4 linked regions of the Notamacropus eugenii genome follow. The protein of the gene in region 3 interacts with the protein of the main gene of each other region in a pairwise test. Links are inferred from orthologs where the notes say so. Each region holds a gene or a part of one and is shown on either strand. Other genes may lie near its edges. The genes, in order: BMX, BLK, STAT3 and NFKBIZ.

Region 1 (7,163 bases), on a different chromosome or scaffold from region 3:
TTGTGCAGCTGTTTTCATAAACACTTCTAGGGACCTGTACATTTTCACCTCTTCCAAGGTGATATGATCAAAGGAGAGGTGTTTATTCCTCTCCTGGCCTGTTTTCTGGTCTGTGAGTGACCTCAAGCATTCTTTTCTGCCTTGGAACTGTGAGGAGGATTCTCTCTCCACTGCCACCACAAGCTCCACCATACAAGCACTTCTCCTCACCCCAGGACTGCCCCTCAGGACTATGACCCAGATCCAGGCATGGGCAAAGCAAGAGAATCCTGCCTCAGCACAAGCAAAGAGATTCCTGCAATTCTGCTCTGATCAGTTGCTCTATCCCCCCACCATCTGTGGGCCAAGAATTGTGGATGCAGCCATTGCTGCTGCTGCTGCAGACCACCACCACCTTGTGTGGTGGGCCAGATTGCATTCCTCTTTCTCCCAGCTCTGATAGATTTCTCCTACTGACTTTCTAAGTTGTCTTTGGTGTTTTTGGGTTGAGAAGTCTGGAAACTGCCACAGCTGCAAGTGATTCAGTGTCCTAAGCCCTGTTCTGGTCTTGTCTGGGTCGCATAGCTCATGCTAGACTGTATTCTTCTCTCAGATTGGTGCAACAGACCTTTCGTTTTGACCTTCCAGGTTGTCATGGACTGGAAATTTGTTTCTCTCTGTGATTTTATGGGTTCTGCTGCTCTGGAATTTATTTAGAGTCATTTTTACAGGTCTTTGGAGGAGTCTGGGGGAGAGCTCAAGCAAGTCCCTGCTTTTACTCCACCATCTTGACTCTACCCCCAAAATAGCTTTCTTCTTTATTCTTTGTGACAAGAGATGGTTTGCAAGGTAGAGTGTCAGAAACAATATATTTTGAAATAAAGATGAGGCAAAAATAAGTGGTATTAATAAAACACTAAAAAATAAAGATAACTTCAGTACAACACAATACAATATTGTAGTACAGTGGTTAGAGTGCCAGTACTGGCACCAGAAGTCTTGAGTTTGAATCTGGCCTCAGACATTGAGCTGTGTAACTGGGCAAGTCACTTAACCTCTGTCTACCTTAGTTTTCCCATCTGTAAAGCAAGAATCATAATTTATCTGCCTTGCAGGCTCGTTGCTAGGATCAAATGAGATAATAATTGCAAAATGTTTAGCACAGTGCCTGCCACAGAGTAAGTGCTATATAAAGGCTACCTGCTATTATTATTGTTGTTGTTAATAGATGGGTAAAATTCCTACTCATTCTTAAAGTCTTTTTTTTTTTCAGTTGTCTCTGACTCTTTGTGAACCTCATTTGGGTTTTCCTTGGCAAGGATACTTGAGTAATTTGTCATTTCCTTCTCCAGTTCATTTTCCAGATGAGGAACTGAGGCAAACAGGGTTAAGTGACTTGCCAGGGGTCACACTGCTAGTAAGTGTCTGAGGCCAGATTTGAACTCAGGAAGAGGAATTTTCCTAAATCTAGGTCCAGTGCCCTATACACTGTGCCACGTAGCTGCCTACTCTTTTTTTTTAAATTTAGTATTTTATTTTTCCCCAGTTACATGTAAAAACAATTTTTAACTTTTGTTATTAAAACAAATTATCTCCCTTCCTCCCTTGCCCCCCATTGAAAAGGCAAGTAGATCTAAGTTATACATGTGTAGTCATGCAAATCATACTCATAATAGTCATATTGTGAAAGAAAACATAGACAAAAAAACTCAAGAAAAATAAAGCTAAAAAAGTATTCTTCAGTCTGTATTCAGACATTATCAGTTCTTTATCTAGGGGTAGATAGCGTTCTTCATCCTAAGTCTTTCAGACATGTCTTGGATTGCTGGATTGCTGAGAATAGCTAAGCCACTCACAGTTGATCATTTCACAATATTGCTGTTACTTTGTACAGAGTACATTTCACTTTGTATCAGCCATTCCAGTCGTTCTAGGCTTTTTGGAGAGCATCTTACTCATCATGTCTTATAGTACAATAGTATTCCATCATAATCACATACCACAACTTGTTCAGCCATTCCCTAATTGACGGGTATCCCCTCAGGTTCTACTTCTTAGCTGCCCTACTCTTGAAAGACTGCTTCAAATGTCATTTCACTTATGAGAGCCTTACTGATCCTCTCTGAACAGTAATGACTCGCTTCCCCACAGCACTCCCCACCCAGTCAAAGACGTGACTTGGGTTTAGACCTATAAGGCACCGTAGAGATTGGTTAGTCTAAACCCCTGGTTTTACAACTGAGAACACAGAAGTTACATGACTTGCCCAAAGTCACACAGGTAGTAAGTAGCAATCCAGGATTCCACTGACTCCAAATCTGGGGCTCTTGCCACTATACCAATTATATATGATGTAATATTTGGTAAATACATATTTATAAATTTTACATATATATAAATTACATATATAGAGGAAAATATTACATATATAAAAATATTACATATATATTTACTAGAAAAGGTAATGCTGCTTACCATCTAGAAGGTAGATATGACGTATATATGTATATATATATACACACACACACATAAATGTATGCTATATAAATACGTTATAGAAACAAACATAAGCAATGTGTATATGCTGTATAAATAAATATAGATATATGTACGTGTATACATGTATGTAAGCACTTACACATGCATATTGTATATTATCCCACCACACATAAACATTTATATATATTATACGCATTTATATATTATATATACATGTATGTCATATCTGTGTTCTAGATGTTAAGCAGCAGCTTTGCCTTTTCTAAATTTTCTTTCTCCTCCAGCACCAAGCACAGTTTAGTGCTTGATATATTCGTGTGGATTCTAATTGAATCAAATTATCCCAAATATGGATTGGAATCTAGAGTTGAGTCAACAGTGACATTTGGAACTTTTGCCTCCCAATGTAGTTCTGAAGCTACACTCTAGACTTGTTGGAATGAAAAGGATTAAGTAACTAGCCATTTAAAATAGTGTTACAACATGTGCCAAATGAATGATTTCTTTCCTTGGCTGCTCCCCCCTGTGCCCAAAAGGTGTTATGAGTAGTATCAGTGTGAGTGTTTTTACTTACGTCACCAAAACATTAGATTCTAAGACAACTATAGGCTGCATGATAATTACAGTGGTGAGAGATCTGACTTCTAAGTGACAACAACCTGGCTTCAAGACCCATCTGTTACAGGCACTGACTATGTGATTCTGAGCAAGTAACTCAGAGCCGCAGACAACTCCCTAAGACTATAAGTTACAGAGACTGTTTAGTAGAGGAAGTTCCTACACTGATGACATTACAGCTCTAGTCAGAAAACAAACTCGAAAAGAAATTATAAGATGAGCAAAGAAAAGTTGTAACAATGACATGATTCCATGATAAGAATGGTATGGTTACATGTTCCCCCAACCATTCATGGATATGCCCTATAATGTTGGTATACAACAAAAAACTAGAGAAAGGTATGTCCCCAGTTGTATTACTCAGTGCTCCAAACTATAGAAATATATTCCTTATGTGGGCAGCTAAGTGGCATAGTGGATAGAGTGCTGAGCCTGGTCAGGAAGACTCATCTTTCTGAGTTCCAATCTGACCTCAGACACTTCCTGGCTGTATGACCCTGGGCAAGTCACTTAACCCTATTTGCCACAGTTTCTTCATCTGTAAAATGATATCAAAAAATATCAAACCATTCCAGTACCTTTGCCAAGAAAACCACAAATAGGGTTATGAAAAGTGGAACACCACTGAAAACAACTGAACTGAATAACAACAAATGTCTTTAATCTGTCTACTCTACTTTATCTGTCCAAGTCTTGAGTTAACACTTACTGCTTATTCTCTGAGCTCTTTGGTCTTACCTAACTGCTTCCTGACTTGTATGTCAATGTCAGAAAGGGAGTTTTTGCCTAGATATTTTATTGTTCTTTTCATAAAAATGCTACATAAACAAAGGCAAGGCTGTTGAACTTTATTCAGTCATTCTACTCCCTCCCCAAACAGCCCTGTTACCTCTCTAAATTTAAATCTTTATAAAATGTGCTTTTACTTCTATTTTTGTTGAGTTCAATCAAATCAGCAAGCATTGGCCAAGTGTTGAGTGTGGTTTCCTGTAGGATTGTGTAAAGTCCTGCAGAACAATATTCACTTGGGGTGACTGAGTAATGTGGTTATTTCAGGCCTCCCAGTCAAAGAAACATGAGGAAGCCAGCTGGGACACGACAAAGGTGATCACTGCTTGTTTTCTTTCAACAATTATTGGATTATTCTGATTGGAATGGATTCCAATAAAATGGAGCCATCAGAAATGGTATGTAGCAGAGGTTGGTGGCAATGAAGTGTCTTTTATACAGGAACTTGGTAGAGTTCAAATTCTGGCTCAAGAGAGAGGTCAGCTGATGCTTGTACTGGCCTGAATTAAGTTTAGTGATAAATAAGTTTGGGATTTGCATTCTCTTTTCTGTTTTGTTCTGCTGGTTGTTTTTATTTTCTTTCTCAAACATACACCTTCTAACAGCTTCTGAAAGAAAAATGTCTCCTTATTTTCCCAGTGCTTTTTGTTAGATTGCTAACTTCTATAAATTGGTGAGTGTTTTCTTTTCTTTTTTTTAATACTGACTTTCTCTGTATGTGTGTGGTTTGTTATTTGATTTGTTTAGGGATTTTTTTTCCTAACGTTTGTTTTTAGTGGGGAGGAGAAAGAGAAAGAGGACAGTGGTTATGAAAATGAACCAGTCACGTGGCACGGTACAGAGGAAAATCATTGACTCTGAAATCAGGAAAATTGGTTCTGAATCATTCCTTGGAATTTCTTTCCCTTCCAGGCCTCTGTTTAAAATTGGGGAACTTAAAGTTCTCCAATATTACTTACCCATTTATAGAATTTATGAAGCGAAAGCAGCTCTGTGACCAAATAGATATTGTTTTTTCCTCATTGGATGTCTCTAACTAGTGATAAAAATATTGCGTTCTTAAAGCATTGGCTTAGCTATGACTTGACTGTTCAAGAGGCTTTAGTGGTTCCTCACTGCCAACAAGAGCAAATACATGCTACCGTATTTGACATTTAAATCCCTTCAAATCTGATATTCCTAGGAAGTACAAGGAATTAAATTAAAGAAGGGATTTTCATGTTGTTGTGTGTAAACTTTGTAACATAAAATAAAACATGTAGGATAGCAAAACCAATTACATAACTGATTTCAGTCAGCAAAAGATTTATATTTTTAAAAACAAAATGGCAGACCCCAGGTGAAGAACCTTTGAAATTAAAGGCATTCATCCTGAGGTATTAAGTGGATCACCATCTTCTACTTTTCTCCTTGACAAGGAAGACCAAAAGTAAAATCCCTTGATATTTGGGGGGGAAGAAAAGGGAGCAGGAGAGGACAGTGGTTTTAAAAGAAGGAAAAGTCTCAAAAGGGGAAGTAAAGTTGCTGAACAGGAACTTCAAGTACATCCCAATTTTGCCCAGGCCCACTCTAATTACTATAAGAAAGGAATTGGGTTTTGCCTTTTATATAAGAAAACAGATCTCCAAAGTAGTTGGTTCTCTAATAATAATAGCTAGAATTTGTATAATTCTTTAAGGTTTGCAAAGCCTTATTCATACACTGGATTTTCACCACCTATCTATCAGATTTATCCATCTGATTTATCTATCTTTTATCTCTCTGATCTATCTGTCCATCTGATTTTATCCTTGTAACAATCATGTGAAGGTCATCTCCATTTTTCAGCTGAGGAAACTGAGGCAAACAAGTGATGTGTCCAGGGTCACACAGCTATTAGATATCTAAGTTTGAATTTGAGCTCAGGGCTTCCTGACTCCAAGTCTAGCCCTCTTACCCCTTGTACCACCTACCTACCTCAATAAGTTGATAAGCAGAGAGTTAATTCGGGGCCAGTTGTATCAAGTAGCAGGAGGTTGGGCTGAAAAGTTAATATCTGTCAATATCTCATTTTCTTACTCCCAGTGCCTCTGTGATCTCATCTATGGGGGTGCTTCCCACATCAGAGTGCATTCACATCTGTTCCTCCTATCCCCTTCTTGTACTTAGTCTCCTATGGATTCTACAGAATATATTCTGCCACCAAGCTGGAAGACTTGTTTTATCTAATGGTTTCTGGGTACCAGTTCAGTACTAGGACTGCCTATCTGTTGTCCTTTCTGATTGCTGCTGACTTTTTCAGTTTTATGCTTTACAAATGATGATTCTTGGACCATTTCTTATGGATAGGTTATTTCAGGAAATCGGTCTTTGACTACGTATGTTCCCCTGAACCCTCCCCCACAATGGTCTGAATCTTCCTTTGTGTCACCTGCATTGATGGGGTGAGGAGGGGGGTAGAGGAAACACCACATGTTTTCCTCAAGGCTGTCCAGTTACCTTTCTTTTTTTAAATTTTATTTTAGACTCAAATACCAGAACAAAAATATAGAATAGAGAAAAGAAACAAAAATATATCATAAACTTAAATATTGGAACTTAAACACAAAGTAAGAAAGGAGAGGAAAAACATGTCATCTACATAGCAGCACATAAGAGAGGATTCAAAATATGTGACAGTAATGCTTCCATTTATTCAATTCTGGCACCAGGCTATTGTCCATCTGCCGCACATTACATAAACACTTCTGTTATCTACATCTTTAGTACAATGTAGGCATTATGTCATTATCATGCCGAGCACAATTGTCGCTTTTCTCTCTAGTACCTGATAGCATCCAATAATAGAATGCAGTTAGGGAGGAAAAACATTAAGAATGCTTGCGACAGCTTCTTTGTAAAAAATAATAATAGTGTTTATTTATAGAATGCTTTAAGGTTTGCAAAGCACTTTACAATGATTATCTTATTTGATCCTTACAACCCTGAGAGGTGGGTGCTATTATTATCCCTATTTAAGAGGAATCTGAGGCGCATAGATTTCAGCTAGTAGGTGTCTGAGGTTATATTTGAATTCAGAACTTCTTCCTTACCGACGTGTTGTCTTCACTGAGTGGTCTGAAAGACAAGTATAATTTAGAGGAGAGGAGCTCTGAATTTAGAACAAAAGCCATAGCTAGCTATGGCTTTGCACCAGGGTGTTGAATTTAAAGGGTCCTGACATTCCTTGCATGCCTTCAGAAGCTAGAAAAACTGAAGTTAGCACCAACTTACCAAGAATAATTAATTAATATAGGAAA
Region 2 (7,162 bases), on a different chromosome or scaffold from region 3:
AAAGAGATAGGATTACAAAAAACGAGGTGGGGAAGTACCAAAGGAAAATAATGAGAATAGTTAGCATTTAGATATCATTTGAAGATTTGCAAAGCACTTAATGTAAGTTATTATATTTGATTTCATCACAAGAAAATTATGCTACTTACTAATTTTGCCAAAGGTTGACCCTGTTTAGAAAGAGACTCTAGTGAATTAGGCAGAGGGTCTGGTCAGTGAAGATTGACTAGTAGAGGGAAGCCTTAGAAATTAGAGAATTGCAGAGGAAAAACAGCCCCACTTTTAAGGGTCTAGAAAAGAGAAAAATAATGGATCACTGCAATCACATGTATATCATTAACAAGTCACATTTATCCACAGAACTAGGAATACTTTGATTAACAACAATAATACACGTTTCTTATTTCCATCTGCCGTGTTACTGTGCCCTAAAGGGTAATCAGGCTTTGCCATCTGCCCTAATCATAAACAGCATTACTATTGAGCCTTCCCATCTGCCTTATAGATGACCCCTCCATTTTCAATTAGAAGGTGCAGTTGTTGAGAGTGGGGAGGGAATGTCTTGATTTTCTATTTTCATCTAGTTGTATTAAAGCTTGGCATGTAGTGAAGCTTAGTACATGCTTTTTCATGCATGCATTAGTTTGCTTGGGTTTTCTTTATCTGATTCCTCTAGCATGGCTTCATTTCTAATTCCCTATTCTTTATGAGTTTTCACAGTACTATTTTTATTCCTGACTGTGTGTTTGCTTAACACAGATGGGAAAAATGAGCAGGAAGCAACTGAGATAGTGAAAGGGATCGATCACATTCTATATTTAATATCAACTCAGAGACACACCTTTTTTTTCCCCTGGGATTCTGAGGTCAAGGGCTAGTGTATTTTTGAGCTCCAGAAATCACTGGAATTAGATGGGATGGTTGGAAATCACTGGAATCACCCAGGTTTCTCCATCCTTCTTCCCTTAAGCAAACATATTTTCAGCTAATGCTAATCAGGCCCTAACTGCTTGAAATCTCTGTAGACTTTCACTTCTCGGTCAGGTTTTTAGCTTCCTCAGTCTAACGTTATCACCCCAACCAGATGTTTGCTCTTTCAAGTATGTGTATCATACTTCCTCCATGCCCAGTCTTATCTCAGAAGTAACTGGTTCACAGAAGCCCTTACCCTTCATTGCCTAAACCTACGGTTTGACTTTTGTGACTGAGCAATACGATGTGAGCTTGGCGGAGACTTCTAATTCCAGCCAGTGCCCTGACTCATCTTTCTGAAGGGTGAGTCACTTTGCTTCAGTTATAACTTCTGCTAATGATGAGCTTTGTTAGTGTCCAAAGCCCTGGACACCAAGCTAACATCAGACCTCAGCTGTCAGAGGGAGAAAGCCCATTGGCTTGTTCAAGCCTGGACTACTCTCCCTCCTCACTTTCCCTTCTTAGCTTCCCAGGCTTTCTTTAAGACTCAAGGCAAATCCTATCTTCTGCAGAAGGCATTTCCCAGTCCTCCTAGCTGTTAGTGCCTTCTGTCTCAAATTACCTTCCATCTATTCTGTATAGATCTTGCATGCATCTAATTATGTTGTTTCCTCCTTTAAAATGTGTACTTACTGAAGTTATGCACTGTTTTTTGTCCTTCTTTATAGTTCCAGTGCTTAACACTGGGTTACATAGTACCTGGTTATATTCTAAAGTTACCATAGACCAGGCTAAGGCCCAAAAGTAGTATTCCAAGGAGAGTCATTAAAAAGTAGAAGTCTTGGAACCTCCCATGGTCCAGGATTATCCATTAATACCTTCTTTGGACATTAGACCTGAGATTCTCCCCGAAAGGAATTATTCACAACTACAAAGAACTTCCAAAAAGAGGTAACCCAATAACAAAACCACTCCCAACAAATCGATCTAGTTGTATATATAAAGAATTAAGTAAAGAGTAGAAGAGAAAACAGCCAAGTAGCAGATGAGGCATTGGAGCAAAAGGCAATTTCAAAATATACATTTTTTTTCTTTTTCCCCCCATTGATCTTTACTTTCAAAGAAGAAATTCTGGCAGAGACATCTCCTACTTCTTCATTCTCTAGATTTTTATCCATAGATGGAATCAGTTTCTTACTGTTCAGATTTTCTTACCCTCAGATTTTTAAAACCACCTGAGATAGGTTTAAAAAAAAAATCATGAAACTACCAAGCTTAATTGCTAGAGGGTCATCCATAGAGTCAGAGAGAACAGAGTCAAGTCCTGCTTCCAACACGTACCGCTTGTATGATGTTGGCCAAATCATGTTATTTTCATAGTGCCCTAGGCGGCTAAGACTATAAATTACAGATAAGTTTGCTTGTCTGTATCAGTGGAAGGAATTTCCAAGCTGGAAGTTCCCTATATTGATGAAAATCACAGATCTGGGCTCCTCCCTAAAAAAATCCCAAACAAATAAACAAAAAGAAAATCAATCATTTGTAATCCATTGACCGCAGCAGTAGTGACTACATTATTTAATTTTCAATATCCATAATAATCATAATATTTTCCCAAATACCTCTCCAAAAAAACTGAAAAAACTCAGAGCAAACCATCCAAATCAAGTCATAATGATAAACACAATTAATTAAATGTTAGGCATACAGCTGAAAATGAAAAGCAAACAACTTAGGTCTTTACCTCGGCAAGGTTTCACAGCATAGTCCTTTAAGTCCTGATGGTCACCCTTTTGGAGGAAGCCCTTATGGCTGAAACAGTCCTTGGTAGATTGAATTAAATCCTAAAGAAATCGCATGTCCATGAAAAAAAATGTGTCTCATTTCAGGCTGCCTCTTGGTTGCCTACCTCACCGACAGACTCTGGGATCAGAGCTTTGCCCAGCTATACCCAAGGGGCAAATTCAGGGTTGAAGTGGCTCAGGGACTCTTCCAGTTGAACTATTATGCTGAGCCTTCCAGGCACAAAAAGTGGTTTCAGAAGTCACGTGGCTCACACAGCTAAAAGTACTTCTTAGTTTCACAAGAAGTTTAGTGAACTAAAAATCCCTCTAAGCCCCTTTTCTCATGAGGAGGTGGAAATGCCAGGCATTGTCATTTTTTAAACCCCAAACGAGTTTGTGTCATGATATCAAAACATCCTCATGGGACTTCAGCATAGTGAGGTGGACATTTCCTGAGTCTTTGATGGCATCATCTAGGACTAATTTCATCTCAGTTATTGGGGAACCACAGTGCAGAATTCTTGGGATTGATTCTATAGCTTGTTTTTGATGGGCTCTGCTTAATCTTGTGGCAAAACTCTATGTAATGGTCAACCCAGATCAGAGAATTGTCAGCCTTTTTAAACCAGTTGGATGGCTGAAAAAGTCCTTTTACAAAGAGATATTTACTTTGAAGACATGGCAACAACAGAAGCACAAACATTTCTCCCCTATTTCAACATTTCAGGGGTACAATCTCCTTTATGACACTAGTCTCTAGAGAGAGGAGGTCCAAATAACAGTTTCTACCTAGCAATGGTACCATTCAAATACAACTTGCTGCCTGATGTACCTTTTTTCAGCTGCTGTTGAGATGGTTCCTGAAGGTTGCTTCTTGTTCCTCAGTGTTGGATGGGTTACAGAAACCAGCATGCGCTCCACCACCAAACCTCAGATACACTTAGGAGCTCAAAATCAAAGTTCTTTTTTATGCCTTAGCTAAATTCTCACCATTAAAGATTAAACCCATTTTGTCTAATTCAGTTCATTTTAAATGAGCTCAATTCCATTCCATTCAAGGAGTTCCCAATGCAACAGAAGAGGTAACAATTTTTTTCTATCTTGCATTATCATTAATATTAGAAATAACAATAATAATACTACACATGAACATACATGGATATGATTTCCATTAAGTGATCAATTAAAAATCTTATATTTTAAAAGTTGTTAGGTATTTTTTCATCCTTTGTTTCTCTAAGTCAATAATTCCAGTCCCTTTATCTTTTCCTTATGGGCCCTATTTTTAGGTTACCCCTCTTCTTTTATTTCCTTCAAAGCTCAGCTCAAGCGCCACCTCCTACAGAAATTTTTCCTTATACTCCCTACTCTAAACTACTAATGCCTTTCATCCTCAGATTTTCTTTTATTTATTTTTATATCATCTGTGCATACTTATACAAGAATATATTCCTGCCCCCATTAGAATATAAGCTCCTTGAAGGCAGAGAATATTTCCCTTTTGTCTGTGTAGCCTTAATGCCTTGCACAGTATATACTTAGTGTATACACGTGCACACACGCGCACACACACACACACACGGTATATACTTAATAAATACTTGCTGATCAGTTAATATGCAGGAAGGCTCTATATAATATCAAATTATTATGTTAGAGAGGAAGAGAAGGGCATAAGCATTTATACAATATCTACTATGTGACAAGCACTTTGTTAAGCACTTTACAAATATTATTCCATTTGGTCTTCACAACAACCCTGCAAAGTAGGTGCTATTATTATCCCTGTTTTACAGTAGAGGAAACTGAGGTAAAAAAAAAAAAAGACTAAGTGACTTATGCAAGGTCACACAACTACCAAGCGCCTAAGGCCAGATTTGAATTCAGGTCTTCCTGACTCCAGGCCCAGCACTCTATCCATTGTGCCACTTAGCTGCTTCAGAATACAGATGTCATATGGTATCCTACTTTACGTACAAACCATGAGGAAGATTGCAGCAGCAAAGATATACAGGATCATTTCTTCTACAAACACCCATTTCCCTTTGGGACAACTCTGAGTATCAAGAAGCCCAGATTGAGGAACCAAGAGATATCTTTATAAGTAAGATTTTTCAAATTTGTGGAATCTAACTTCATAAAATGAAACAACTCCGCTCCTAGATACCACATCTCACTTCCCATGACATCTTTTAGGGTGGGAGTGGGGGTTCCCCAGTAAGAAATTGGGGAGTTTCCTGGGAGATAATGGAATGTGAAACTAGACCCAACTCCTTTATTTGTACAGCCTTCACCTTTTCTGTTCGACTATCCTCTTGACACCCACCACATCCCCATTGTAGCTTTATCTAGTGATGTATAACCACCCTAATCACCAAATACCCCACCCACAATTCTCTCTACAATCTGAAATTAGAATCATTTGTTTTTAGACATGAGAGAGACCCAAGAGATCTAACCTAACCTCTTCTTTTTATAAATGAAGAATTTGAGAGCCAAAGAGGTTAAGGGACTGATAAATCACTCCTGAGAAAAAGATCCTTGAGAGCAGGAATTGTCTTTCTTTTTACTTGTAGTTATCCCTTTTACATCCTAGAGGTTCAGAGCATGGCACCACAATCTGGAAAATCCACATAAAATTTTTTGGCCCTCCCTTACAGACTTCAGAAGAAGTCTGAATTTTTTTTTCTTTTTCATTTATGGGGTGTTTACAGCACCTTATTGTGAGATTTGGGTTAAGTATTTGGTTAAAGGCTATATTACATAATAGTATACATATATTTTATGCATTTCTGAGTTTCTAAACTTCCTCAGTGTTATCTGTTGACTTTCATGTGTTGTCTGTGGCTTCTGCAAAACTCCCAAAAAATTCCCATTTAGTTTCTTATGCTGACCCACGATATATCAAAACCATGATGGGGAAAATCACGACATGGAAGGGATGACTGTATTTGTGTCCTCATCATTTCACATGGTACCTGATGCATAGCGGGTATTTAATAAATGCTTTCCTTTAAAGGAAACAAAGGTTCTTTCCTTCATAGAAGTAGAGACTAGAGCAAATGAAAAGACAGCCATATGGGAAAAAAAAAACTTAATATGGATTTGAACACAGCAACTTGAACTCTAACATCCCATTTGGACTGGGATCGTGGCTCCAAAAGCTGTAAAGCTTCAGTGTTCATTCAGACTTGAGAGATTAGCACTCTTTTGCCTGCTGGGATTGAAAAAGAAGCTGATTTAGACAGAAAGCTTTTATACTCTAAACTTGGAAACCAGTGCCATGAGTTTCAAGTAACTATGTTCCTTTCTCACTGTTTTAAAGACACAGAAGATTTATGTAGGGTGTTGGCCAGTGTTCACTTGAAGGCATAGTAGGTGATAGCCATTGGTTTATATTCCTTTGCTATTCAGCTTAATTAAATGCCTTTTGCTTTTGAATTCATGTGTCATTTGGCATGGTCTGGCACAGAGATGTATTGTTGGGGGCTCGAGACCTGATGTCCCAGAGAGAACTCTGAAGGTGGATACAGAAGCTAAGAAGTGTTCTAAAGATAGGAAAGTGTAAAATGGTTATTTCCATTGGGCCTACATCCCAGAAAAATAGAACATAAACATTGTGACATATCATAATTAATTGCTGGACCCAGGAGTTTAAGTCTTATTGATGCAGTTCAATTGCATGATTTTTTTATTTGGAAAACTGTTCATTTTAGACAAAATTTCCCATGTGGGTGATTAGGATCCTGAAAATTCACAAAAGGAAAAGCTATCTCAAATATATCACACCCAATAAGAATTGTATAACTATAGTTGATAAGCCACAAATGCTGAATTGGGGAAGGTGTATATCTCACATTTTCCCCCCAGATCTATGGTGTCTTTGGTGTAGACAACAAATCCTAGTGGAAAAAATCCTTTAATACAAACAGGCAACATACAGCTGAGAGAGGTTAAGTGTCTACAGGCTACAGACAGTATGCTCTAGGGGCAAGACTTGAATTGTTTCTATACATTATTACTAATAGGAAATAGGCAAACTCAGATGACAAATTTTCTCTCCTCTTTGTTCCTGTACCTCTCATTTACTTAGTTTTCTCTCTTCCCTTCTCCTTCTGACCTCCTTCTCCAATAGAATCTTCTTCATTAAGTCTGTCAATGAGTTTTGTATTGAATGTATACTGTGAACTAGGCTTTATTAAGTGCTAGGAATTCAAAGAAAAGCAAATATAGACCCTGCCCTCAAGAAGCTTACTTTCTAAAAGGGGAAGAGCCTGTTTAACTATATTCATACAAGTTGTATATAGAGTATTGGAAGGTAATTTAAGAAAGGTGGGTGCTAATAGCTGAGTAGACAAGGAAAGGTGTGCTGAATTAATGGAACTGGAGATGAGAACTTTGAGAGAACCAGAGAAGTTAAAAGATGGAGGTGGGGGAGTAGAAAATTCTAGGCTTAAGATATAGGT
Region 3 (7,831 bases):
GTAGCGAATCTGTAAACAGCAGGTTTGAGTAGCTACATACCTGAGGAGGTATTTATAATTATAACAGAACAGAGTACTAGGTCTAGAGAGAGAAGACTTGGGTTCCAATTCCAGGTCTGCTATTTACTATTACAGATTCTGTGAGGAGACCCCAGAGCTCAGACCACAACTCACCCTAGCACAATGACATTTAGGTCATGATTACCTACGTGACCTTGGTCAAGCCATTTAATATCTCTGAACCTCAGTTTCCTTGTGTGTAAAATAAGAAAGTTTATCTAAAGCTTCTCTAAGGTCCCTTTCAGCTCTTACCCCTATAATTTGATGACTTTTTTGTCTTCTTGTTTTCCGTTTTGAAATCCATTATTATATTTAAGATGCACACTCTGATATGGCTGCATGCTAGCTCTCTGAGGCTCTTAAAGAAATGAGAAGTAACTTTAATACTGATGAGCAGGTTAAACACTCACAGAAAAAGCCTTTTTGTTCATTCAGTTTTGTATTATTCACATGATAATGACCAATCGTGAATTGTGTATATTCTTTACAGGTAAGACAACCGATTACTTCTCAGCATACATAAAGGATAAGAAGTACCCTAAATATGTTATATAAGTGAGGGGAAGGAAAATGACAGACTAAATCTATAACCACATATCTACTTAATAGAACAATAGAGCTAACACAACAAGTAACAGACATTAAAGGCAACCTGAGCAATGCTTAGTTGTGCAAAGTGTGCCCCATTTTAAGCCACACATATCAAATATCATTTAAGTTTATGCACAAGTTTTCACCAAGAGGTCTTGCTAGTCTTTGTTTCCCTTTTCTTCTGCATTTACCCAAGATCTTGGCCCTGAGACAGAATACTCCCACTTGTTATTACTTCACTCTGACCTGTACAATTAAGCAACACCACAATCCAATAAGTGCAATGGTTCAATTATTTATCTTCTGTCCTCCTTTATCAGGTTTTTTTTTAAATGAACAACAAATTGGAGAGGGAAAGCACCTAAGGGACGTATTACATTTCTCTGAAGCTATTTGTTTGTATATAAAATCTAGCTAATAACCAGACAAAAAACATGGGGAGGAATTTAGGAAGAGTCTCTGAAAAGCCATTTATGTCTACCCAATTACGGGGAGTGGGGGGAGAGCACAAAAGGAAAATTAATGTCCATGCAACTCAATAATTTCATATTTTCTTACCAAAAAGTAGGATGAGATTTAGAGCCTTAGAGATGATGAAATGACAGAGCAATATTTATATGATGTTTTAAGATTCACTAAGGACTGTCCTCACTACAGATTGTAAAGGGGGAGTAAAAGTATTATCTACATTTTTATGGATGAGGAAACCAAGATTAACTCTAGTCACACAGATACTAAGTCTCAAAACCAGGATTTGAGCCTGTTTTTCCTAACTCCAAGTCCAGCCCTCTTTCTGTTACATCACACCAGTTTCTCACTTTAGTCTGAGCCTTTTATTCTAAAGGCAAGAAAACCAAGGCACCTAAAGTCAAATATTGACTGACCTTTATTACCTATATGATACTGGGGAAGGCATTTAACATCTCTGGTCTTCAGCTACTATGTCTGTCAAATCCTAGAGATGGACTAGATCATTTCTCTGGATCTATCTAGTTCTAATTCCCATTAACACCTACCTATATGTCTGATTGTAAATCAAGCATTCTTTCCACCATCCCTGGCTATCATCCCTCAATCCCACCTGGATCCAAGGCAACATGATTGCCTATATAGAACAGAAACAAGGAATATAGCCATGGGAATCATCTCTCAACTCTAGATTCCCCAGGCATTTCTCTGATAACTCCCTTGAAGAGAAGGGTAAGGAAGATAGAATGCCACTGGGAAGAAGAATTGTCTTCACTTAAAGAATGACAGAAGAGGAGAAAGGAAAGATGGGTAGGGGAAAAAAACTCTTTCATTAGAGGGGAGGAGGTAGGACTGTTTTCCCATGAAAAGAAATGGTAAGGAGAGAATACTGACAGTCTTTTATTGAAGGAGAAAATGGCTTAGCACAGTGTCTGGGAAAGAGTAGGTGCTTAATAAATGTTTCTTGATTGACTGCAAAGAAAGGGGTCTCTCCTCTGGGAGGAAGAGTGATAAGGTAGTCTGTTTTTCTTTGGGGGCAGGTGGGGAAGCTTTTTCTCCTTGGAGGCCAAGAGGAGGGCAAATAATGGGGAAGCCCTGACTTTGCTTAGAGAAAAAGACGCAGAGATCTCTCCACGGGGGCATGTTAAAGGGAGAATGCCGGGGAAGCCTGGCTACTCCAAGAGGGAAGAGGGAGATGGGAAGGAGAATCGGGGAAAGGAGTATTGTCTCCAGGGATGATGTGAGGAAGGTGAACGGGAAGAAGGAGGACTCTCTGGGAGTGACGGGAAGAGGGGGAGGGAAGGGGGAGGAATATCTCCCCAGGAGGGGAAGGAAGGAGGAGAGAAGGGAGGATTCGCTCTAGGGGGAACAGAAGTAGGCGAAGACAGAGAGAGGAGGGGAGGAGGGAGGAGCACTCTCTACCCCCGGGATGATGTGGGGAAGGAGAAATGGAGGAGGGGGGACTATCTCCCTCAGAAGGAGTAGGCGGAGGGTAACGAAAGGGGGGGAGGGAGGAAGGTCTGTCTCCCCAGGGGGGACAGCAGTGGAGGGGAAGGAAGGAGAAAGTGAGGCCTCTCTCCCTTTCCGGGCGCCCCGCCCCTCACCTGGTCCCGGAGCTGCGGCCTGTGACAGGCCCTGCGGCCCCGCTGCTGGAGTGGCCCAAGATGCAGGCCAAGTGCCTAGTCCCTTCAGGCCGTGCAGGCGGCGAGGTGGCTCCTAAACTGCCTCCGCTCAACCGTAACCCGAGACCCGGAGCTGGAGGCGGCGGGACCCGGATGTGGGGGGGGTTACGTCTTCTGGCCGGGGTTCGGGCTCCCGGGGACCCTTCTCAGTTTAACGTCGAAACCCACTCCTCCTTCGCCGCTACCGCCGCTGCTCCGGAAACGGCTGAGTAACAAGCCACCCAACCAATCGCCACTAGGATCCCTGCCAGCCAAGACCCGCCCCTAAAGCATAATTCATGAGGCCCCCAGCCGCCTCGGCCACTCAGAGTCCTGAGTCGATTAATTATGCATCAGGAACCCCGCCCCTAGAACCAATGAGCAAACACCGACCAGATAAATTATGCAGAATAAGTGACGTATGGAGGGGGACGCCCCCGTGCGGGCTGTTCCCTAGGTGGCGCTGCCCCTCCCGCCGGAGCAGCAGGAACAGCAAGGGCTAAGGCCGAGGAAGCCCCGGAGGGAGGGAGGGAAGATGACGGGAATGTACTGCTGAAAACTCAGCTGAGTTCCTGGCAAGGCGTGACGTCAAAGGCACTTTAAATGCCCCTAGTGCGGCTCCCTCCTCCCCTCACCCCACCCCCACCCTACCCCGGACCTCTGGAACTGCCAGGTGCTAGACGAGGGTGGAAAAGACCGAGGGAGCCACTTGGGAATGGAGCCGTCTAGCAGACCCCCTCACACTCCACCCCTCCTCGGGGCACTCAGTGCCAGCGGGAAGGGCCAAGTCCCAGGGCTGGGGAGAACGAGAAACATGTGGCACAGTCCTTGTCCGCCTACAGGCTGCTGTGCGACACTGGGCATTGCATGCGAGCAACACCCTCAGCCCCACTCACGGAAATGAGGAAAGACATGACGCATACATACAAGAAGGATAAAAACGAGTCGAGGGAGAGAGACTCGGTAGTCCGATTTCCCCGTCCAGTCTTCTGAAGACCCCAGACCGCTTTGCACTTGACCTTGGATAGCGCTACACAGTAGCCAGTGTCGGTGTTGAGCCCTGTGCACTAGAATGACATTATTTAATGTCATCTTCTGACGTGTTTGCTCAACCATCCTTGTTGGCATTGTCTGCCAAAAGAGCTTCCACACATAGAGGAGCCGATACCTGTCTTAGAGACTTGCTAGTGCTCAAAGGCACAGATAATTTTCAGTGAAAACAGTCCGGAGGCCTGAGTTAAAGTGTAACCTTGACCTTTCTTAGGCTCAATGTAACTACTACACCCAACAGAAAGAACTACCTACTTCAGCCAATAATTAATGTTTTTTCCCCTTCTATAAGAGGGACCATGTAAGGTGTCCCAAGAGTTTAAGGATTAAAACTACACCAAGACTTGTGGGTCAGCCTGTACTTGTGAGATGTAGTACTCTCTCCAACCATGCTGGTCTGGATCCATTCTTCATCTCATTTTGTTCAACTTTGGTCCTTGTTTTCTATTAAATCCTCCATAGGAAATCTGCCCAACATGTCAAGCTTGAAAACTCTCAAATTGAGTAATGCTGTTCAAAGCAACGGTTAAATGGTATTCCAGAGGACTGATAATGAAAAATGTGCCATACCCAACCTACTCCTTCCTGCCTGGCATTGACATGAAGTTGGGGAGATATCGTTTCCCTGCAATGTCCCTACTCTTAGTGGCAATTTCCTGTAATCAAAAGTTTTGTAAGCTTAATACCAGATCTATTAAATAATAGATTGTTGGTAGGGGAATATCTGAGGTTAAGTCAAAAATTAAGCTACTAGGCTTAGGACTTCAGACCAACAACAATAAGTTAGGGTCCTTTAATTCTTATTAATAGTGTGGAGACAATCAGGTCAAGGTTAGGATACATAGTTATTATTTTGTCTCAGTTGGTTAATGTTAAAAGAAAAATGGTTTGTGGTCTATATGGTAAATGCTTTAAAAGAAGCATCACATGACCAGAAGTTGGAATTGTTTTATGATGTGATATGTACTGTGTTAAAAATGATTATTTATTGTATTTATGTTAAGTATTGGACCCTGTTATTGACTCCTTAGGGAAATCTCATCTTTCTGATGGAGAAAATGAATAATGAATTAATGTAAGGTGTAAATGCTAGTTCTGATGTGGATTTCTTAAATATGACAATTGGCCAAAGTTCCAATTTTGATTTTGTAGGAGTGATAAGTGTATAAAGCTTAGGAATGGTCATCTAAAATTGTATCAAGGTCAGTTTTGTAGGAGAGTGAACATCTGGATTTCTACAAGAAGATATGGGAAGAAGATGCAGATATGCTGTGCTGAAGACTGCTTGAAGAAGCACCCAGACCAGAAAACTGCATCAGATGATGTTTCTCCCCAGACGACTGTATGAGATGGAACCTCCGAATGGACAATTCATTGATCTACCTTTTCCTTTTGAATCTCTGTATCTGTATTTATAACAAGGGGACTGCCCCCTTGTAATTTGTCAATGCATTGGTCAACTTTGCTCCCTTTCTATATTCATATAAAGGGGGATAGATGAAGGGAAAAATTCATAGAGGAAAGAATGTGAGGAGGTATTTATTGATTGAATTTAGGTGTGGAAATAGAAATTTTAATAAAGAAAGAGGGAGGATTTTATGGGAAGTAAGAAAGTTCTGTTGTTCACATTCCTAGGTGATAAGGGTTGTGACCTAGCATGGACAGGTTAGAAGTCAGAAACTAATGCACAGGCCCAAGGAGCTGTGTGAGGAAGGGCCTATCAGAGAGGAGAACATGGAGTCACATGGCCAGGGGACAGTATCTCGGGAGATCCAAAGTGCACAAAACAGTAAAAGAAGACCCATCTTCCTAGACATGTTGTAGTCTTCCTGTAACCTCACTGGGGAAGCTACCTGTCCATTCAGGGGGAATGGACATAAAGATTAATAAAAGCTTTCCTGATTTCAAAAAAAAAGAAAAAAGAAAAATGCGCCATACCCACCTCCTGACAAAACAGGGATGGGACTAACATACACATTTTTAAACCTTAGTAATAGAGACATTAGAATGTTAACTCCTCGAGTGTAGGAACTGTTACTTTACCATTTGTATTCCAGGCACTTAGCATGATGCTCTCTTTGCACATGCTCCCCCCCACCCCATTCATTCAGAAATGTGTTTTGACTATGCTTAACATTTACATAAAAGAGAAAGTTTTCCCCCTATGGGGGAGAGTGGGAGAATTTTTTGTTTTTTACATTTTAAAAGAAGAAATGGTGTGGAAACCTACAAGAGCAGGAAGGCTGGCTGGTTGGCTACCTTTGGCTCTTGCAACATGACCAACACACCTTCTTTTCTGGTTATACTTCTTTCCAACAAAATCCTTTACATCATTGGGATATCATACAAGAAATGTATGGTCACGAAGGAACATGTGTCTCTTACAGTAAGAGATAACAAATAGGAAGCTTAAATTCAATGAAATGTAAATGTAAGGGGGTAGTGGGGACTAGAACACAATGTTGGCCAAGTTGTTCCCTCCTGATCATGGTTAAGTGCTTCCTCTCCTGGCTAAAGGACAAGTGTTTCACAGTCACAATGACTGGTTCCTTGGTTTCCATAACTAGAATATGACAAAGAGTATTGCCAACTGATCCAGGAGGAGCCATACCCTATTTGTGCTTTTAGAGGAGCTGAGAACAATTCCACATATTCCCTGCCTTTCTCATTTGAGCTTGTGGCACTGGGATTCAGTCATCTTTTCTTTGGATCAGTGAAATGAGATAATTTCTCTCTCCCCACCCCCACAAGTTCCTCTACACCATGAGCACTAGTCAGTCATAATTCAGGTTTCCTTAGGTGTGCCTGAGACTAGACTTCAAGTCCCTGGATACTTCTGTTTTGTCAGTCACTTGAGCACAGGTGACTGAAAAGAAAGCCTGGAAATACAGATGCTTCAGAAGTTCAAGGGAAAAGTAGTTGCTGGTTGTCCATTGGTAGGTGTTTCCCACATCTTCAATGCTGCATAGAGAAGATATGGCCAGGAGAAAACTCCAGAAGGATATTGCAGCTGAAAGGACTAAAACAATTCAGGGTAGCCAGGAGATCCAGATTTGTGAATTACATAGCACAGATCATGGGGGAAAGTAAAATATCTCCTCAACAATACATAAAGTACATTTATTGGAAGAGTATAGTAGATCACAGGTTGATTCAACATTTAAGCATTTATTAGCACGAGCTTATGAGTCTCTTGTGTTTTAAGCATTATTTTTAGTTGTAAAAAAAAAAATATACCCACATGTATGTAATCAACATAGAATTTTGCTCATCCTCTTCCCCTCCAGAATTAAATGAAATCAAAGCAAAGTCCTCAAATTATAAAAACTCATAGAACTGATGAGGGCTGGAAAGGGGGTGTGAGACCCCCACAAAGACCAGGGTACCAGGGGCAGGTCGTTAGAAGAAGAATTCACGAACTCAAGCATTGTTGAAGTCAAGGTAAAGATTTATTATGCTTTTCAGAAGGCAAGCATTCTTACAGAACCTGCAACATTAAAGGGATACAGGGAAAGTTTATGTAGGATATTCTGTAGTATCATTTTGCCAAATATGCCAAGTAGGTGTTTTGGGGTGGGATTAGGGAGTGGTTAAGGAGTGATCAGTTTTTAAAGGAACATGCACTTTTGGTATCTACTGTGCAAGTATTTTACCCAAAATTCATGGGGAAATAGCCCAAGGAGGGGCTACCTAGAGGTATGGTTTTAGGCCTGAAACATCATTAAGTCAAAAAACAGTCAGGGCTGACCAGGAAAAACCAGACTTCCCTCATCAATATGTTGTTAGACAAGATTAATGTAAGGGAGTACAGGTATGGTTAAATCTAGAATACATGATTGGTCAGTGAGTAGTAAATGTCATTATGACCCAGCATACAGGGAGTTCAGTACACAGCTAGTTCAAAGTAATGAATTCTATAGTTGCAACTGATTACTATAGCAAGAAGGGAGATAATGATTGTTGCCAGGGCAGGCTGTGTCCCTGAGGGAGAAATTGCCTGA
Region 4 (8,005 bases), on a different chromosome or scaffold from region 3:
TCTTCTTTCTTTGTCTAATTCCACATATACCACAGTTTTGAGACATTACCTTTTTATAAGCTAACTAGAACTTTGGGAGGAAAATACCTTTTTTTCAGGGAGAGGAGGGGGAGAAGTTAATTTTGAATATCAAAAATATCTTTAATTATGAGTAAAGAGAAGATTTAGTGGGGATGTGACAGCTTTCTTTCTGTAGATGAAGGAGGAATAGATATATTGTCCTTGGTCCCAGAAGGGCAGAATTAGGAACAATAGATGCAAAGAGACAAATTTACATTTAATATAAAATTAATATAAATTTAATAAAAGTAATTTAATAAATAATAATTACAAATATCAATATATCATTATTATTCAAATAATCATATAATTAATTGAATAATGACTAATTGAATGAACGATTGAATAATACATGAATTAATAATAAATAATTAATTTAATTAAATATAAAATTTATATAAAATAACATAAAATTTGCTGACAATTAGAACTGCCTAACAGTGGAATGGGCCACCTCTTGGGGGACAGAAGGTTCCCTGTCACTAAAAGTCTTTGAGAAAAAGCCAGATAATCCCTTATAGAGTCTGTAGATGGGATTCATGTTCAGGAATAGGTTAGCCCAACTGACTGAGTTGGCCTATTATATTATATATAATGTGTTAATGGGAAAACAATTAAAAATGAAAGTATTATGTCTTATTTGGCTTCTTTATGGGCTTTTAATTTGTTTTGTTTCTTAGGCTAACAATATATAAATATAAAATATATGTTTGATGAATGCTATTGAAATTTATATTGAAGTCTACTATAGTAGCTTAATAAAATTATGCAATACTTTTTTTTTATATTTTGTATTTTACATGTATCTGATTCAGATTTTTACCAAATTGGACAAGAATTGGGGGTGGGGAAGTAGGAAGGAGTCATGAAAGCAATAAGATGAAGAACATGAGAAATGAGGAAATACTGGATGTCCCAAAAGTCTTAGTGCAATTAAATTATCCTATATTTACCCTACAAAAATTACATTCTGTTCTTTTAAGAGACACTTCCCATACAGTTACATAGAATGACAGCTTGAATGAGGGTCATTTGTAGCTCCAAGTTCTATGACATGGGGTTTTTCTCAGAATAATTTTGAGAAATTTGTGGTGCAAGTATTTTTATCCTCATTTTACAGATATGGAAACTACAGTGGGTGAAATAATTTCTTCATGCTAATACACTTAACTCATGTCAGAAATGGGACTCAAACCCAGGAATGTCTGATTTCAAGTCCAGTACTTTTTTTTTTTTTCAGGATGCTTCATAGTTTATAAATCATTGCTGTCACTTTATCATTATTTACTGGCTACTGACTCACCACTCTATTGAAGCTGCTTTTAATCACCTCTTAATGGCTATTATGATGGCCTCAGTCTTCTTGACCAACATATTATTGTGTTGTCTACTTCTGGACACTCTCCCTCCTCTTGGTTTCTGTGAGATTGTTCTCTCCTAGGCCTTATCCTACCTCTTGACACTTCTCCCCTGCTAACATTGCTGATTTATCTTCCACTCTCTAAATATAAAGATTTTATTTTCTTCCCAGTCCTGTTGTTTCTTTCTGGACTTGAAAACCTTGAGCCTTCTAATGCAGACTCATCCTGGAACCTCCTTGCCCTGAACCAAACTACAACTTCACCCTGGAATATTCATCCCCCACTGTAAAACCTGACCCATCTCTCCATTCCCCCTTTTCTCCCTTTGGTGAGTTCTTTCTGGAGTCTCCCATTTTGTGGAAGGGCCTAGGCCCAACTGCCTTCATTCCCCTCCCAGGCTTGCTCCTGACTTCCTGGCCTTCAAAACCATACCCTGCCCATGGTACTTTCATTTCCCTTCTATCTGATTTGTAAACTATTTGGCACAATGTCTGGCATACTGTTGGAGCTTAATAAATGCTTGTTCCTTCCCTCTTTCTTTTGTATGTTTCCTTCTGCTCATTAGAATGTAGTTCTTTGAGGGCATAGACTATCTTTCATTTTGCTATTGTATCCTCAGTGATTAGCCCAGTTCTTGACACAAGGTAAGTACTTAATAAATGCTTTTTTTGTCCCTTCCTCCCTCTAACCCTCTCTACTCTTCTTCCTTCCTTCCCTCCCCCCTTCCTTTCTCCCTTCTTTTCTTCCTTCCTTTCTCTCATTCTTCTTTTCTTCCTTCCTTCCTGCTTCTTTCCTTCTTTTTCTAAACATAAAGATTCCATAAGACTTGGACCTTACCTCTCTATGTGAAAGTTCTTAACCTGAGGTCTATGAACTTTTAAAAAAATATATTTTACTAACTATTTCAGCATAATAAGTTTTTATTATAATCCTATTCATTTTATTGTATGTGAATGTGATCCAACTCCCAAAGCCTGTTAATAAGGGAAGATCAGTGCCCTGTACCTATATGAAGGGTAGGGTGGAAGTAGGAGTTGGCATTGTCCATCTTCTCTCTTGAAGCTGGAAGCCTGAAGTTCTGGAAGCAACTAACAAGCCCAAAGAGAATCAAGAGACTCAAAGACACTGAAGAGACTCACTCTACTCTCTCCCACTCTTATCACCTCTACCTCCACCTTTACTTTCACACAGGTCCTTGGGCACTGATCTCCATCAGTGAAGAGAGAGTCCCAAACCAACAGACTTTGGGGACTTGGATTACTCATTTAAAACATTATTCCCAATTCCACCATGTTCATCCACTAAAACTCAGAGAACTTAGTTCTTCCCATGAATAAAGGATAGATAGCAAATGAGGACAAAACTCAAATGGTATTAAGATAAATAAATTAGTTAAAAGTCCCAAAAAACCAACACTTTTCTAAGAAGGGGTCCAGATACTTCGCCAGACTGCCAAAGGGGTCCACAACCCAAAAAAGTTTCAGGACCCCTGCTCTCTATATTCTCATTTTTCTCTCTGCCTTTCTATACCTGTCTCCTTGTCTGTCTCTCCCTCTGTCTGCTCATCTCTTTCTTTCTGCTTCTCTCTCCCTTGTTAATCTCATCATCTCCTAAGACTCCAAAGATTACTTCTGTGAAGATGGTTCCCATCCAGCCTCAAACTTTCTCATTCCAATCCAGTAAACATTTACTGAGTGCCTACTATTTTCTAGATACTGTGTTGCTCAGTGGGGACACAAAGACAAATAGAAAAAAATTATCACTTCCCTTTAGGAATTTATAATCTGAATTTCCACATGGCTGCTGGGCAGCTCTACCAGTATGTTCTTCTGGTACCTCAAGTTTAGTAGGTCTAAAATTGAACCCCTCCCCCTAACCTGTTCATCCAGGATCAAAACTTTTAACTTTTCTTTTCCACCTCCCTCCCTCAAATGAGATATTTGTAAAGTGCTTAACACAGTGCCTGACACATACGAGGTGCGATAAAAATGCTTATTCCATTGCCTTTCCCTTCATCTTGTCAGTAGCTGAATCCTGTTGATTCTATTTTCACATCTTTCCTCTTCTTTTTTATTCAGACCACCATCTCCTTAGTGTAGGCTCTCATCACCTCTGACCTTGACTATTGTACTAGACATTGAGGCCATGCCATGCCCCCTACCCCCCAAAACAAAAATAAAAAATACAACTGATCTTTCTAGGATCAACCTTCTTTCCAGGCTTTATTCCAAATTGTTCTTTCCTTTAATCACTGTACATCACAACCAGCTTCTACGGGTCTCTTCCTCATTGGGTCCCCCTTTTTCCCTCCATGCATTCCTGCAGACTGTCTCTAATGGCCTGAGGACTCTACCTCTTCACTGTCAGGTACTGAAATTTTTTCTTCTTTTCACTATTGCCCAGTTCAGGTACCATATTCTCCATGAGTCTTTTCTGGTCTCTCCAGGAATTGTCCCTTGTCTTTGCCACACTATACCTATACTGGATGGACTTGTGTAGGTGTCTTGGTAGGTTAATTCCTCAAAAGTAAGGACTTTGTTACGGCCTAGCCATCAATCGAAGGAAAAAAGCATTTATTAAGCTCTTGAGGGTGCCTGACCCAGGGCTGAGCATGAAGTCAAACAACAGTCCTTGCTCCCAAGAAACTCACTTTCTAATGGGAGAGTCAGCAAGTAAATAACGAGGTAAATACGAGATTTGTGGAGTAGTTGGTAGATAATCTCTGTAAGGAAGGGCCAAGCCCAGGGTGGCATAAGGGTAGGGAGCTTGCGAGGTCTGCAGGGAGGAAGGCCTTAGTCTCGGGTGGGGGCCTGGGAAAATGAGTCCCGTGGCAGGTGGGATTTGATCTGAGACTTGGAGGAAATCTCTAAAACTAAGAGGCAGAGGGGAGGGAGGAGGGACCAGCACGTTCCGAGCCTGGCCAAAGGAAACGGAGTGCCTGGCACAGGGCAGGAGCTCAGGGAGTGCCCAGGAATGGCGGAGGGCAGGGTCTGATTCGCGGGGCCAGCTGTTCCGAGCACTCGGCTTCCCCTCTCCCAGGGCCGCCGGGCTGCAGGAGGGAAAATCGGGCCGCTCTTCTGTAAACGGCTCTGCCCAGTTCCCGCTTTGGGACTTGGTGCCAAGTTCGAGGAGGGGGGCGCATTTGGAGCCTAGGGAAGGGACCGAAGAGTGGGGGAGGGGGCGAGGGGTGGAGAGCGGGTGCGCGGGACGCCCGGAGCCAGGTGGAGGTCAAAGTCAAGGTCGGCTGGGAGCTGGAAACCGACCTAGGCCAGGAGGAGCCCGGCTGGGCGAGGCCCCGACGGGGCGGGGGAAGGGAGGGACGAGGGCGGAGGGGAGCATTGCCTCATCCTGTACATTTTACTGGAAACCTGCTGTGCATCCGGAGGAGGAGCCGCCGGGCTGTCGTCCTGCCGCGGCCGCCCAATAGGCAGGCTCTTGTGCGCGCGCGGGCTGCCCCTCACCCCCTTCCCCGGCCCCCGCCCGCCTATAAACCGGGGACTTGTTGGCCGCGCCCAGCCGAGCTGAATTCGTCTAGGTGGGTGCGCCGGGGCTGATTTGAGCGTGGACCCTGCCAGCGACCAGCGCAGCCCGAGTCCGTGTCCCTCGTCCCACTGGTGCGGGGAGCAGTGCGTGGGAGAGTGGTTAGTGGGGGGGCGCAGCCGGAGCGACTCGTGGTCTGCCCGCGAGCATGATCGTGGACAAGCTCCAGGAGGACAGCCGGGGCGGGGAAGGCCTGCTGGACTGCGCGGCCGGCGAGGGGGGCCTCATGACCAGCCCCCTCAACCTGGCCTATTTCTACGGGGGGTCGCCCCCGTCCGCGGCCGTGGGGGCGAGCGATGCCAGCTTCTTGTCCTCCAGCCACTCGACGCCGGGCTCCCCCGGCTCGGACTCCTCCGATTTTTCCTCCTCTTCTTCGGTCTCCTCGGCTTCCTCCTTAAGCGCCCCCGGAGAGCCCCGGGCCAGAGGGGGCCCCCGCGCGGACCGTGTGCCAGGTAGCCGGTGGCCCCTCGCGCGTGACTTTGGGGTGCGGGGCGTTCCGCGGGCACGGGTTGCTCGAGAGCGAGGGGAGGCGGAGGGGGTGGTGGAGCAGTGTACTTGGCGTCAACTTTAGCGATCCGTAATGGTTTAGCTTCCGCTGACTTCGGGGGAGACCGAGGACGTGAGTGGCCGTTTTCTTTGGGGGAGGGATCAGAAATTCTGCTGGAGTGATTGGTGTCTGTGAGGGTCTTTTGTTCTAATTGTCATAAAAACATCCAAGTGCAACGTTAGGAAACCGTGAAGAACGAAATTATGAAGGAGTGTGCAGTGATTCACACTACATTTGTGGCGTAATTATGGCAAATCGGAGGCATTCTTTCCTGAAGAATTATGTCCTGACTTAGCAGTGATTTAAGCAGTTCTGTTTCTCTTAATCACGGGTCAGATAAAGAGCAGGTTTCCCCCTACCCGACAGACTCATCGGAATAAGCCAGTCCAGCTTTCCCTTTGTTTGCTTAGTGCAGCTGGTTGGGTTTTTGTTTGTGTTTTTTGTTTTTGAGGAGGGAGGCCAGGAGGAGGTGGCAATTATGCCTTCTAGGAGAATTAAAGATGTCATATCAGTCTTAGTGTTTGTAATCCTTTTAAAAAATGGCTGGTCAGTTTCTTACAAACTTGTTTGGGGCGTTTTCTCACTCCCAGCCTTCCCTCCCCGACTGGTTGGCTTTATCATTTTTTTGAATGTGCCAAATTTTTCACCTGGAAGTCTTGTTTTTAAAACCATTCATTGGACTTTTATTATGGCTACTCAATAAATGTCAACTAGTGAGATCGTATAGTTTTTAAATCGGAAGAGAATCCTGGAGATTATCTAGTCCAGTGCCCTCATTGTACAGATGAGTAAACTGAGGTTCACTGGAATGTGGAAAGGCCAGTGTCCAAATTGGGATATCTAGTGCATAGGAGGAGTGACTCTTTGGGTTATGGAATTTAGGGTCTTTTTCTTGACTGTGTCTGGGTCAAGCCATTTGGCTAGTTTGCTTTTTCAGTTATTTTTTCTTTCCATTTTTGGCTACTGTCATGCCTTGGTGTGCCTTAGTCTATACAACTTTTCATATCAGATTTTGTGTGTAAAACTTTTTGTGGCATTTCAAAGCTTAACAGAGCAATTTATGAACTTCATTTACCCCCTTCCAATCCTCTCTTCTTTCCTTCCTTTCCCCTCTCCCTTCTTCAAATCAAGGGCCTAAAACATTCCACTTCCTGGCTTTTTTGGCTTGTTTATTTAATGAACAACAGATCTAAGAGGTTACGACACAAGTGGTCATAAGTGGAACGCTGAACTCATCTTCTCTGTTTCTAACATTGTCAAGTTTTGGCTCAAGTTCCAAAACAACAGCTTATTTCCTTTTTACTAGGAAGACCAGGAGATGATTCTGAAAATTTTTTTAAGTGGGGAAATCCTCAAAGGTGTTTTAAAAAAAAATATTAGTTCACAAAACTAAAGTTTTTGTAAATTGAGATTACTGGAAAAAGTTGATTTTTGCCTTGTAGGGTGGAAATACCAGACCTTTTAATCTCTAGAAGAATATAAACCCTTTGTTTAAAGAATCCATGGAGAATTAACTAATAAAATTGCTTAATCCTTATAGCAAGCTCATGTGGTAAGGGGATAACCAACTTTATTCCTGTTTTATAGAGTTAGCAGATAGACACAATGTACTTTTTCTCAGACAACTTAGATCTGGTGTTGTCACCACCCTTTTTTGTGAAGAAAGAACAATTTTAAAAATTTCCTCAAAATTTTGAGATTATGTGTGTGTTTGGGGGTGATGTGTGGTGGTTTAGAGTCAGGGGCTAACAATAATAATAGCTGTATTTACAAAAAGCTTTTTAAGTATTGAAGTATGTATATAGATGTGTGTGTATATACATCCATATGCGTACACTCTGTGTGTGTGTGTGTGTGTGTGTGTGTGTGTGTGTGTGTGTAAGTAAGTGTGTAAATAAATGCTCATTTCATCTCTATAAGAACCTTGTGAGGTAGACAACTGTTACTATCTCCATTTTATGGATGAGGAGACTGATTGGCTTAGGATTTTAGTGGACTTTGCCCACGGTCACATAACTAGTAAGTATTTGCTGCCTGTGGAGTCCTTGGGAAGTCAGGGGACATTTTCAGAGAAGGGCTTCACGGCAATCGCTTCAAGACAAATCAGTAGGTAGGCCCTGAATCCAGACCAATGGTTTGCTGTAGCTGTTGGTTTCAAACAGGAGCCCAGAAGAATGTCTCCCAATGGTCTGTTGCCTTTTCTAAATTCCTAATGGGGAATGGCTAATTCAGTTGGAAGAGACAAATATCCTCTCCCCCCCTCCCCCAAAAAAATGAAAGAAAAGAAAAGGTATACCAGTAGGTATTGCTCCCCATTAGACATTATTTGATAATAATCTTGGAGGGCATTTAGATTTGTGTTTTTTAAGTTGTATAAACTCAAATATAGTTTCTTTATTTCATAAGCAGGTGACCACCATATGGCTGGTGGAAGGCAACAGAGAGGACCCTTTCAAGGTGTTCGTGTGAGAAATTCAGTGAAGGAACTCTTGTTGCA

What was found.
Region 1: the proteins of STAT3 (region 3) and BMX interact in binary tests that used the Homo sapiens proteins (3 or more experiments, as listed by UniProt). The link is inferred for Notamacropus eugenii from reciprocal best matches to the Homo sapiens genes STAT3 and BMX.
Region 2: the proteins of STAT3 (region 3) and BLK interact in binary tests that used the Homo sapiens proteins (3 or more experiments, as listed by UniProt). The link is inferred for Notamacropus eugenii from reciprocal best matches to the Homo sapiens genes STAT3 and BLK.
Region 4: the proteins of STAT3 (region 3) and NFKBIZ interact in a two-hybrid assay, tested with the Homo sapiens proteins (2 studies listed by BioGRID and IntAct). The link is inferred for Notamacropus eugenii from reciprocal best matches to the Homo sapiens genes STAT3 and NFKBIZ.

What each region holds. Positions count from the first base shown.
Region 1 is NC_092876.1:374,584,393-374,591,555, reverse strand, and holds the start of BMX (cytoplasmic tyrosine-protein kinase BMX), read left to right. Parts: upstream 1-4,154; 5' UTR 4,155-4,250; coding exon 4,251-4,283; intron 4,284-7,163. UniProt on the Homo sapiens protein: Non-receptor tyrosine kinase that plays central but diverse modulatory roles in various signaling processes involved in the regulation of actin reorganization, cell migration, cell proliferation and survival, cell adhesion, and apoptosis.
Region 2 is NC_092872.1:576,936,386-576,943,547, forward strand, and holds the start of BLK (tyrosine-protein kinase Blk), read right to left. Parts: upstream 3,008-7,162; 5' UTR 2,657-3,007; intron 1-2,656. UniProt on the Homo sapiens protein: Non-receptor tyrosine kinase involved in B-lymphocyte development, differentiation and signaling. B-cell receptor (BCR) signaling requires a tight regulation of several protein tyrosine kinases and phosphatases, and associated coreceptors.
Region 3 is NC_092873.1:358,862,085-358,869,915, forward strand, and holds the start of STAT3 (signal transducer and activator of transcription 3), read right to left. Parts: upstream 3,016-7,831; 5' UTR 2,724-3,015; intron 1-2,723. UniProt on the Homo sapiens protein: Signal transducer and transcription activator that mediates cellular responses to interleukins, KITLG/SCF, LEP and other growth factors. Once activated, recruits coactivators, such as NCOA1 or MED1, to the promoter region of the target gene.
Region 4 is NC_092876.1:368,225,720-368,233,724, reverse strand, and holds the start of NFKBIZ (NF-kappa-B inhibitor zeta), read left to right. Parts: upstream 1-4,989; 5' UTR 4,990-5,109; coding exon 5,110-5,413; intron 5,414-7,619; exon of another isoform or gene 7,620-7,755; intron 7,756-7,914; coding exon 7,915-8,005. UniProt on the Homo sapiens protein: Involved in regulation of NF-kappa-B transcription factor complexes. Inhibits NF-kappa-B activity without affecting its nuclear translocation upon stimulation.